Linked DNA regions of Macaca fascicularis. The protein of the gene in region 2 binds, or shares a complex with, the protein of the main gene of each other region. Links are inferred from orthologs where the notes say so. Each region holds a gene or a part of one and is shown on either strand. Other genes may lie near its edges.

Region 1 (4,248 bases), on a different chromosome or scaffold from region 2:
ACTTCTCTGCCTAGGCGTTCAACTTTGAGTTCGGATGGTCCTAACATCCCCACCATCTACACCCAGGTCTCCCAACAATGCAACTCCTATGTTGATCCCTCTAGCCAAGCTTCCATCCCACTCACCCCCAAACTCGCTAAGTCCCCACTGCCCCACCCCCAGCCCCAGCGATTCTCCCGAGCTGAAAATACACGGAGCCGATAGCCCGTGACTCAGAGAGGACTCATCAAGTTCAGTCAGGAGCTTACCCAATCCTCAGGGAAGCGTGTCACCGTCTTGGAAAGCACGCTCCCAGCCCGGACGCCAAGTGTTCCCGGAGCCCCGCAGCTACCTGCTGCCTGGATGGTGGCTCTAGACTTTTGAGAAGCTCAAAACTTTTAGCGCCAGTCGAGCACATGGGAGGGGAAAACCCCAATCCCATCAACCCCTGCGAGGTTCCTGGCACAAAGCTGGACAGTCGCCATGACAAGTAAGGGCAAGTAATCCGCCCGCTGGAGGAAGCAAAGGAAATGGAATTGGGGAGGAGGGTGCAGAGAGAGTCAGGATTCTTGCCGAACTGGTGCCGTAGATACTAACATTTTGGGGTGGAAAATTCTACAAGCCAGAGCTGTGAGGGCAGAATTGGTGGAAACCATTTTGGAGGAATCCTGCGCTGTGTCAAATATGAAGGGTGGAGGGAAGAAAGCTTTTGCGTTTGCTCTCAGCTGGATCCTTTCTTCTCAACAGCTAAAATGTCATTTTTTAGGAAGGCTTTCCTTAATATCTCACGCTAACGTTTTCTCCCACATACTTTGTATCACACCATCTTGTTTAATCTTCACAATACTTATCACTCTGAAAATATTTGTTAATTGCTTTCAGTACATGGAAACGTAAGCTTTATGAGGATATAGAATTTTTCTACTATCTTATTTATTGTTGTATTCCTCAGTGCCTATATCAGTCCTGGGTAGCAAGTAAGAGCTCGATAATAAATACTTTTTGAATGAAGGAAGAGAGAAAGGTCTGGAGCCTGGAGAACGAGATGAAAAGAGGTACAAGACCTGCAGCGCCCTCTGCAGGCGGCGGGGGATGGTGCAGGTGCTTTAAGAATTACCGCGGGACTCGGTAGGGGGAGCGCAGGCGCTTCTCCCCAAGATAGAAGAGTTTAGACTACAACTCCCAGCAGCCACGAGAAGCCCTAGGGCTTGATGGGAACGGGAAACCTTATAACCTTTCACGTCCCGGCTCCGCGGGTTCCGTGGGTCGCCCGCGAAATCTGATCCGGGATGCAGCGGCCCAATCGGAAGGTGGGCCCAAATCCCGCGACAGCAAGAGGCTCGTAGCGACCTGCGGTGCTAAGGAACGCAGTGCTTTCAAAATTGGCGTCCGCTGTTCGCCTCTCCTCCCGGGAGTCTTCTACCTCCTCCCAGAAGAGGAAGGAAGCACAGGTGGGTTTCATTAGCTCTGCATCGGATCCCTGAGAACTTCGAAGCCATCCTGGCTGAGGCTAATGTCCGCTGTGCTTCCTCTGCAGTATGAAGACTTTGGAGACTCAACCGTTAGCTCCGGACTGCTGTCCCTCAGACCAGGATCCAGCTCCGGCCCATCCTTCTCCCCACGCTTCCCCGATGGATAAAAATGCGGACCCTGAACTGATGCCACCGCCTCTCGAAAGGGAGGATCCGCCCCGGTTGTCCCCAGATCCTGTGGCTGGCTCAGCTGTGTCCCAGGAGCTAGGGGAGGGGGACCCAGTTTCTCTCTCCACTCCCCTGGAAACAGAGTTTGGTGCTCCTAGTGAGTTGAGTCCTCAAATCGAGGAGCAAGAACTTTCTGAAAATACGAGACTTCCTGCAGAAGAAGCAAACGGGAGCCTTTCTGAAGAAGAAGCGAACAGGCCAGAGTTGGGGTCTGAAGAAGCCATGGAAGATGCCTCTGGGGAACCCGCTGCAGAGGACGAGGGAGACACGTAAGTGGTGATGGCAGTGGAGTGTGGAGTCTGGGGAGATGAAGTGTGAGATCGACCTGTCCTCTGGTCCTCAGAACCACTTCTCTAGGCCCCTGCCTCCGTTGCTTGGCGACCCAGGTTTGTTGTCCCCCATCTTCCTTTCAGTGCTTGGAACTACAGCTTCTCCCAGCTGCCTCGATTTCTCAGTGGTTCCTGGTCAGAGTTTAGCACCCAACCTGAGAACTTCTTGAAAGGCTGTAAGTGGTAAGGATAACAACGGGGCAGGGAGCTGACCACCCCCAAGATTTTCACCGTAGAACAGTCCGGTTATCTAGGAGAGGGATGCCCCAGAGCTGGGAGAAGGAGCACGTAGCCCTTTTAGACTGAACTTACATTTTATCTAGCAGTGTGTGTCTTCTCCTTCCCTCAAGGATTCAGGGGGGCTTACCTACCCCAGAGGTAGGCTCAGCCCTAGACCTACACTTGAAAAGCATAGGTCTGGCCAGCTTTGTAACTCTTTCCTGTTTCTAGGGCTCCTGATGGTTCCTGCATCTTGACCAATAGTGCTGATAACATCTTGCGAATTTATAACCTGCCCCCAGAGCTGTACCACGAGGGGGAGCAGGTGGAATATGCAGAAATGGTAAGGACTGGGGCTAACTCGGCCTCTTCCTCAGTGCTGCACATTTAAGTCCTTCATGGAGATGGAGAAAGTGTAGTCCAAGTGCTTCCTGTTCACAAACGGGACTGTTTTTCAAGATGTTTCCACGTCTAGCGTTTTCTGCCCTGAATTCTGAAGTTATTTAGAGAGACGTTTCCCCTTTCTTTAATTAGGAATCTGTGTTTTTCGCTAAAAAGTAGTGAATTTCTTGTGGCAGTATATATGTATTTATATTTATTATTTTTTTGAGACAGGGTCTTGCTCTGAAACCCAGGCTGGAGTGCCGTAGTGCGATCTCAGCTCACCGCAACCTCTGCCTTCTGGGTTCAAGCGATTCTCCTGCCTCAGTCCCCGGAGTAGCTGGTACTTCAGGTGCATGCCATCACACTCGACTCATTTTTGTATTTTTAGTAGAGATGGGGTTTCGCCATGTTGGGCAGGCTGATATCAAATTCCTGACCTCAGATGATCCGCCCACCTTGGCCTCCCAAAGTGTGGGGATTACAGGCGTGAGTCACCGTGCCCGGCCTATAGATATTTATTGATTGACTACTGATACATGTTAGTCACCGTGCTGGGATAAAGTGGTGGACAAGACAGATGAAAGGCTGGTTTGCTTTCTCTGTGGGAGATAGACAACAAATACGTAAACCAGCAGGCATCAGGACCAAGATGATAATAAATGCTCTGAAGGAAATACACAGAATGAAGAGAGACTAACTAGAGGAAAGCACATTGCATAAAATGGTCAGGAAGGAGCTCTCTGACAAGGAGGCATTTCAACTAAGACCTGAAGGAGGATAAGGGGTCAGTCAAGTGAACACTTCCGGAAAGAGCTTTCCAGAAACTGGCAATGATAGTATAAACACCCAGAACTGGGAAATAGCTTTGTGTATTAAAAGACCAGAAAGGCCTGGCACGGTGGCTCACACCTGTAATCCCAGCTACTTGGGAGGCCAAGGTGGGCAGATCACTTGAGGCCAGAAGTTCAAGACTAGCCTGGCCAATATGGTGAAACCCCATCTCTACTAAAAATACAAAAATTAGCTGCATGTAGTGGCACATGCCTGTAATCCCAGCTACTCGTGTGGCTGAGGCAGGAGAATCTCTTAAACTCGGGAGAGGTGGAGGCTGCAGTCAGACAAGACTGTACCACTGCACTTCAGCCTGGGCGACAGAGTGAGACTCCATCTCAAAAAACAACAAAACAGACCAGGCTCGGTGGGTCACACCTGTAATCCCGGCACTTTGGGAAGCTGAGGCAGGCAGATCACCTGAGGTCAGGAGTTCGAGACCAGGCTGGCCAACATGGCAAAAACCCGTCTCTACAAAAATACAAAAATTTGCTGGATGTGATGATGGGTGCCTGTAATCCCAGCTACTTGAGAGACTGAGGCAGGAGAATCACTTGAACCCGAGAGGTGGAGGTTGCAGTGAGCCGAGATCATGCCATTGCACTCCATCTCAAAACAAACAAACAAACAAACACAAAATAAAAAACCCAGAATGCTAGTATAGCCAGACTGAGGCAAGTGAGGGAGATAGCGGGGCGAGGACAGAGAAGAGCAGCCACGTTGTGTTGGGTCTTATGGGTAAGGCATTTGGAGTTTATTTGGGAAGTCATGAGAGAGGGTTTTTTTTTTTTTTTGAGATGAGTCTT
Region 2 (3,646 bases):
ATGAAGTCTGAAACATTGCTACCCTTGTCCTGAGCAGTAAGAGCCTTAAGTATATTTTAACTCTGGTCACCACCCCCAGCCTATGTGCTATTTTCCCTGCTGACTTAGTTCTATCTTGGGTATCTTGACACACCCACAAGGTAACCATTATTAATATTGTTTTCCGTGTTCCGTGTTTCTTTAGCTTTGTCCCTGCCCTGCTTTTCCTCCTCTGTTCCCCGTCTGTCTTCTGTCTCAGGCCTGCCTTCTGGGGTCCCCTTCCTTGTCCTTTGCCTGGTTCTTCTGTCTTGTTATTGCTGGTAAACCCCAGCTTTACCTGCACTGTGGCCTCCATGGCTTCTAGTGACGTCCGGGGACCTCTGCTTATGCACAGATGAAGATGTGGAGACTCACGAGAAGGGCGATCATCTTGGCCCGTGAGTGTCTGGAGCACCACGTGGCCGGCGTTCCTTAGCCAGTGGGTGACAGCAGCGTCCGCTCGGCCTGGGTTCAGCCTGGAAAACCCCAGGCACGTTGGGATCTGGGCTCCGTGGTGACGAGTTTGAAATCACACAAACCTACGGTCTGGTGCCAGCCCCGATGTGCTGCCTGGCGGGGAAGTGTCTGCCTCCTCCCTTCTGCTTAGGGACCAGGACAAAGGATGAGGCTTCGAGCCATTGTCATCCAACAGGAGCATGACATGAGCCACGTGGATCATTTTTAAATGTCTAGGCTGGGCGCGGTGGCTCACGCCCGTAATCCCAGCACTTTGGAAGGCCCAGGCGGATGGATCACAAGGTCAGGAGATCGAGACCAACCTGGCCAACATGGTGAAACCCCATCTCTACTAAAAACACAAAAATTAGCCGGGCATGGTGGTGGGTGCCTGTAATCCCAGCCACCTGGGAGGCTGAGGTAGGAGAATCGCTTGAACCGGGGAGTTGGAAGTTGCAGTGAGCTGACATTGCGCCACTGCACTCCAGCCTGGCAACAGAGGGAGACTGTCTCAAAAAAAAAAAAAAAAAAAATAGAGAAAAAGAAAAAAAAATTCTAGCAGCCACATTAAAAAAGTAAAAAAGAAAAGGTGAAATTAACGTAATAATAATTTTACTGAAGCCCAGCACGTCCACAACTCATCATTTAGGGTGTCATTGGTGGGAGCGTCACTCACAGGACATGTGACATTTTTTGTGCTTGATCTGCGGGATCCCGTGTGGGTCCCGTGTGCGGCCATCTCAGCCTGGACCTGCTGGGCTCCCCGTGGCCATGGCTGTCGTACCAGATGGTGCAGGTCTGCGATGAGGTCGCCAGCCCTGCGGTGAGCTGGATGTGCGGTGTCCTTCTCGTTTCAGGGGTGGGCTGTGTGCCGGCCGCAGAGCACCGCCTGCGGGAGGAGATCCTGGCCAAGTTCCTGCACTGGCTGATGAGTGTGTATGTGGTCGAGCTGCTCAGGTCTTTTTTTTATGTCACGGAGACCACGTTTCAGAAGAACAGGCTCTTTTTCTACCGGAAGAGTGTCTGGAGCAAGTTGCAAAGCATTGGAATCAGGTAGTGTAACCCCACGCTGGTCCCCTGCTTCTCGAAGTCCTGCAGCACCAGCCCCGGCCTCAGCGTGCGCCTGTCGTCCCGGCGCCGGTGCTTCCCTGGCTGTGTGGCTCTGGGCTGGGAGCCAGGGCCCCCGTCACAGGCCTGTCCCGAGTGGATTCTGTGCTGGGCTCTGATTGCCCGGAGCTCACTTTCTGTTACTTGTGAAATCAGGAGTTTATGCCAAGTGGTCTCTGGGGTCTGTAAAGCAGAAGCAGTTTATATTGGATGGAAACACTACCACCAGCCTCCTTGCCCCTCCTCGGGATGTGGATCCGATTCTTTCTCTTTTTTTTTTTTTTTTGTTTTTTGAGATGGAGACTTGCTCTGTTGCCCAGGCTAGAGTGCAGTGCCATAATCTTCACTCACTGCAACTTCCACCTCCCGGGTTTAAGCGATTCTCCAGCCTCAGCCTCCTAAGTAGCTGGGATTACAGGCACCTGCCACCACGCCTGGCTAATTTTTGTATTTTTAGTAGAGATGGGCTTTTGCCATGTTGGCCAGGCTGGTCTCGAACTCCTGACCTCAGGTGATCCACCCACCTTGGCCTCCCAGAATGCTTGGTTTATAGGCTGAGCCACTGTGACTGGTCCCCGATTGTCTTTTAATTCATGCTGGTCTGCATGAATCTTTAATCTGCTGGATTTAGGTCACGAGAGGATAAAATCCCACCCTCTTGGTGACTCACTGTGGGGAGCACCTGTGTGGGGAGCACCTGGGGTAGGAGACGTCCATCATGAGCTAACTTCTAGGTGGCTGCGTTTGAATGGCTGCGAGATTTTGTCTGCAGTGTTCAGCTGATAAGAGTGTGAGGGATTGTGGCAGATTCAAGCTGGATTTGCGTCAGTGAGGGACTGGAGTGCTGGGCTGGGAGACATCAGCCTGGCTGAGCCCAGGCCATGATATTAGCTTCTCTGTGTCCCACCCAGGCTGACTGGAGGGCTCGGTGAGGACTCTTTAGTCACAAGGTCAGGGCTTCCCCGGCTCCTCTGCACACTCGAGTCCCTGGGGGGCTTCTCACACCCCATGCCCCAAATCAGGATGTCTGCAGAGGAAGCTGGCAGCAGACCTCATCAGAGGTAACACGGCCTCTGGGCTGGGGACCCCGACGTGGGGCTGGGGCCGTTTCCTCCTGTATCTGGGGGAGAGTCAGGGCTTTCCTTGTGGGAACGAGTTAATACACAATGTGCCCTACTTAGACATTGCACATAGTGAATGGTGTGTGACCCAACGTGGTCATTTGACCAGTGTTTTGGGAAGAATTTAATTGGGGTGACAGGAAGGAGCAGACAGACGTGGTGGTCCCCTAGTCGCTCCTTGTCACGGCTGGAGCTGATGTTCTGCCTGAGGGGCCTCGGAGGCCCCTCCTCCCTGGACAGGGTACTGTGCCTCTTCTGTGCTCGGCTGGGCCTGCGGCCTGGGGTCAGGGTACCAGCCCCGGAGCACCCTCGGGCCCAGCGACCATAGAGCACTAGGCCGTCAGCCGCAGATGCCCAGGTCCAGGTGTGGCCACTCCAGCCCCCCACTCCCCCATGGGTGGTTTTGGGAGAAAATGCCAAAGGGCAGAGGTGTCAGGGAGCTGGTGGGCTCACGGGAGCTGGTTCTGCTCCTTGGCTGAGCTGCCCTGAGCAGCCTCCCCTGCCCGCTCCATTGGAAGGGATGCGGCTCTTTCTGCCTGAGGGTCCTGCCTGGGGCCAGACCTGGGCTACCCAGTGGCTGTACCAGAGGGACAGGCATCCTGTGTGGAGGGAGCATGAGTTCATGTGGCCCCAGATGCAGCCTTGCACCCCATCCTGGGTGGCGGCCACTGGACAGGCAGGCTGGGGGTTGATCATGGGACCAGGTTCCCTGGTGCTGATGGTGGGACAGTCACCCTGGGGGTTGACCACTGGACTGTGCGTTCCTAGGGTTGACTGTAGGACCAGGTGTCCAGGTGCCCTGCAAGTAGAGGGCTCTCGGAGGCGTCTGGCTGGCGTGGGAGGACGTGGCCCCGGGCATGGCCTTCAGTGTGTGCTGCCGTGGGTGTCCCGAGCCCTCACTGAGTCGATGGGGGCTTGTGGCTTCCCGTGAGCTTCCCCCTAGT
Region 3 (3,432 bases), on a different chromosome or scaffold from region 2:
CTCAAGGTGGGATTGTAATCTCAAGGTGGGATTACAATCCCAGCACTTTGGGAGGCTGAGGCAGGAGAATTGCTTGAACCTGGGAGACGGAGGTTGTAGTCATCCACCACTGCATTCCAGCCTGGACAACAGAGTGAGACTGTCTTAAAAAAAAAAAAAAGCCCACCACTAAATCAATGAGTTCAAAGATAAGTTAATAAGGAGAAAAATCAGACTAAACAGGTTAAGTAACTTTCTCAAAGTTATACAAAAAGGAAATATTGGTCTTCTTTCAATTCACTGCCTTCTCTCTATAATATACCTATTACTTTTTCAAGTACTCTTCCATTTTTAATCAAAATGTTATTTCAAGGGATGAGAAATTACGTGACAACAGGGGTATTTTTCAGTGAATGCTGACAGCTGTGAAAGTCTTAATCTTTCTTCCCCAATACCCTCCTACCACTAACAGCACATGACCACTCTTGCTACAGGACTGAAGTTTTTCTTCCAAGTCGTATTGTTGCAACTCTCTGGAGTACTCTCGTCCATCATCTCCCTCCCTTTAAAACAATACTACCAATCCTTTCCTCCAACAACACAAAATAAGAGCTTTTCAAATCATTTTATCTTTAATAATCTGGTAGTAACTTAAAATACGAAAAAAAAAGTCAAACGTGTTCCCTTTATGGGTGATGCCACCATGACTGCCTCACACAAGCATGCTCAATCACCAGGATGAGATTGGATGCCACAGAGTATGGCTGGCAAAAAGGCATCAGGGCTCACAGACTGAGGAGTTTGGTTACGGAGTCTCCGAGGGGTAACAGGCCGCAGAATAGACATCAGTTTAAGGGGCCTTCAGAGGACAGGGCGCGGTTGCTGGGTCATGAGCACCTTGAAGCGTTTCTTGATGGTGATTCGGTGTCGAGAGTATTTGTCATCTGGGGAGAACCGAGCAGGATGGGCTGAGCAGGTCTGTTGTCCCATCGGGTCAAATTTCTGCTCCGGGAATAGAGAATGAATGTCAGTACAGGAGTGATGGGGTGGGGACAGCGCGAAAAAGGGCAAACATGAAAACAGAAGATGCAATGATCAGCTCAAAAAGTTGTACAAATAAATAGAGAAATACAAAACTTAAAAAGGCTGGGCGCGGTGGCTCACGCCTGTAATCCCAGCACTTTGGGAGGCCGAGGCAGGAGGATGGCTTGAGGTCAGAAGTTTGAGACCAGCCTGGGCAATATGGCGAAACCTCGTCTCTACAACAAACAAACAAAACCAACCAACCAAACAAAAAAACCCTAAACCAAAAATTAGCCAGGTGTGGTGGCGCACGCCTGTAGTCCCAGCTACTCGGGAGGCTGAGGCAGGAAGATTGTTTGAGCCCAGGAGGCGGAGGTTGCAGTGAGCCGAGGCACTACAGCCTAGGCAACAAAGCGAGTCCCTGTCTTAAAAAAAAAAAAAAAAAGAAAAAAAAGAAAAGTGAGTGCAATGGCGCTATCCGGGTTTACTGCAAGCTCCCCCTCCCGGGTTTAAGCGATTCTCCTGTCTCAGCCTCCCAGGTAGCTGGGAAAACAGGCGCACGCCGCCACGCCCGGCTAATTTTTTGTATTTTAGTAGAAACGTAGTTTCACCGTGTTGCCCAGAATAGTCTCTAACTCCTGAGCTAAGGTAATCCACACGCCTCGGCCTCCCAAAGTGCTAGGATTACAGGCGTGAGCCACTGCGCCCGGCCAATTTTTTTTTTTAAATAAAAAACTCGTCGCGCGCTCCCGGTTCTCCCCCACCTCGGTTCTGGACTTTCTGGTTCCCTCCACCCAGCTAGGTAACTCCGTGTATGGCCTCACCCATTCCTCCCATCTACATTTCTCGCCATGCCTATTTACAACCTGTTTTCTCTCCTCACCTTCAGCGTATAGACCCGATCTCCCTCCTCGTTGAGGTAATACTGGAGAAACATGACTGCTCGTAAGCCAGAGGTCCCAATTCGCTCCGCTGCTCCGTCTGCAGGGGTCCGCCCGACCGCGTCACGTGTTCGTCAATTTCCTTCCTGCATAGCCGGAAGTCTCTCTCCTGGCACGCCGGAAAATGTAGTCAATTTTTGCCTTATTTTCAGCTAGCCAGAAGGGGGCGCACGAGGGCAGGGCTTGGCTTGGGGGGCCACACTTGCAACTTTGCAGGCTAAAACACGTGGAGTGTGCCTACTGTGTGCTAGGTACACGGCGCTAGAGGGGGGTAGGGATGGATGTGGATAGAACATTGACGTATAGAAGCTTGTCTTTATCTCAAGATACATACCCATTTCAGGAGCAGTGAGTTTCCAGTGCCTGAAGAAACAAGGGCTCCAGGATTCAGAGCCCCTTTGCCCTAGGGAAGAAGGAAGAGGTTTTCTTCCCTCCCCTCTTTTACATCCAGTTTCCCTGCTCCATTTCAAAACGTTGGCGGTAAAGAATGCATGTTGAGTATCAATATTCCGTAAAGCGAAAATAGCGTAAAGTTATTTTATGAAACGAAGTATGTTTCAGCGGTCGAACCAAGATTTAAACTTAGGTCCCTACCGCAAATTCAGCGCTCTTTCTTACAGTGGTGAGTAGCTAATAATAGCGTAATAAAGTGCACCTTCTAGGAGATTTTACAATTTTTTAAAGAATATAGAAGTTCTCCTTATTCGTTTAAAGAAATGAAAATGAGAACCAAAATATAATTACAAAGATCATCATTACGCCTTATTTATAATGACAAAAGCGTTGGCATATATGTTGTGTAACCAGAAAAACCTGCAAGGTTTTTTTTTTTTTAGAATATGGTTTGGCCGGGCGCGTTGGCTCACGCCTGTAATCTCAACACTTTGGGAAGCTGAGGCGGGCGGATCACAAGGTCAAGAGTTCGAGACCAGCCTGGCCAATCTGGCGAAACCCCGTCTCTACTAAAAATACAGAAAAAATTAGCTGAGTGTGGTGGTGGGCGCCTGTAGTCCCAGCCACTTCAGAGGCTGAGGCAGGAGAGTCATTTGAGCCGGGAAGGCAGAGGTTGCAGCGAGCTGAGATAGCGCCACTGCACACCAGCCTGGGTGACAGAGTGGCACTCCGTCTGAAAAAAAGAATATGGTTTGTGACCGGGTGCAGTAGCTCAGGCCTGTAATCCCAGCACTTTGAGAGGCCGAGACAGGTGGATCACAAGGTCAGGAGTTCAAGACCAGCCTGGCCAATATGGTGAAACCCCGTCTTTACTAATAAAAATACAAAAATTAGCGGGACGTGCTGGCGGTCACCTGTAGTCCCAGCTACTCGGGAGGCTGAGGCAGGAGAATCGCTTGAACCCGGGAGGCGGAGGTTGCAGTGAGCTGAGATCACGCCACTGGTCTCCAGCTTGGGTGACAGAGCAAGAGACCCTGTCCCAAAAAAAAAAAAAAAAGATATGGTTTGTATTTACTTGTAGTTGAATAAAAAATCT

Evidence for each region.
Region 1: TERT (region 2) and WRAP53 share a complex: the UniProt entries of both Homo sapiens proteins name them as parts of the telomerase holoenzyme complex. The link is inferred for Macaca fascicularis from reciprocal best matches to the Homo sapiens genes TERT and WRAP53.
Region 3: TERT (region 2) and NOP10 share a complex: the UniProt entries of both Homo sapiens proteins name them as parts of the telomerase holoenzyme complex. The link is inferred for Macaca fascicularis from reciprocal best matches to the Homo sapiens genes TERT and NOP10.

The regions. Positions count from the first base shown.
Region 1 is NC_088390.1:7,739,920-7,744,167, forward strand, and holds the start of WRAP53 (telomerase Cajal body protein 1), read left to right. Parts: upstream 1-1,321; 5' UTR 1,322-1,430; intron 1,431-1,516; 5' UTR 1,517-1,517; coding exon 1,518-1,948; intron 1,949-2,092; coding exon 2,093-2,191; intron 2,192-2,458; coding exon 2,459-2,570; intron 2,571-2,842; coding exon of another isoform or gene 2,843-3,133; exon of another isoform or gene 3,134-3,198; intron 3,199-4,248. UniProt on the Homo sapiens protein: RNA chaperone that plays a key role in telomere maintenance and RNA localization to Cajal bodies. Specifically recognizes and binds the Cajal body box (CAB box) present in both small Cajal body RNAs (scaRNAs) and telomerase RNA template component (TERC).
Region 2 is NC_088380.1:1,630,555-1,634,200, reverse strand, and holds part of TERT (telomerase reverse transcriptase), read left to right. Parts: intron 1-1,331; coding exon 1,332-1,527; intron 1,528-3,646. UniProt on the Homo sapiens protein: Telomerase is a ribonucleoprotein enzyme essential for the replication of chromosome termini in most eukaryotes. Active in progenitor and cancer cells. Inactive, or very low activity, in normal somatic cells.
Region 3 is NC_088381.1:10,628,616-10,632,047, forward strand, and holds NOP10 (H/ACA ribonucleoprotein complex subunit 3), read right to left. Parts: upstream 2,020-3,432; 5' UTR 1,940-2,019; coding exon 1,886-1,939; intron 982-1,885; coding exon 841-981; 3' UTR 593-840; downstream 1-592. UniProt on the Homo sapiens protein: Required for ribosome biogenesis and telomere maintenance. Part of the H/ACA small nucleolar ribonucleoprotein (H/ACA snoRNP) complex, which catalyzes pseudouridylation of rRNA.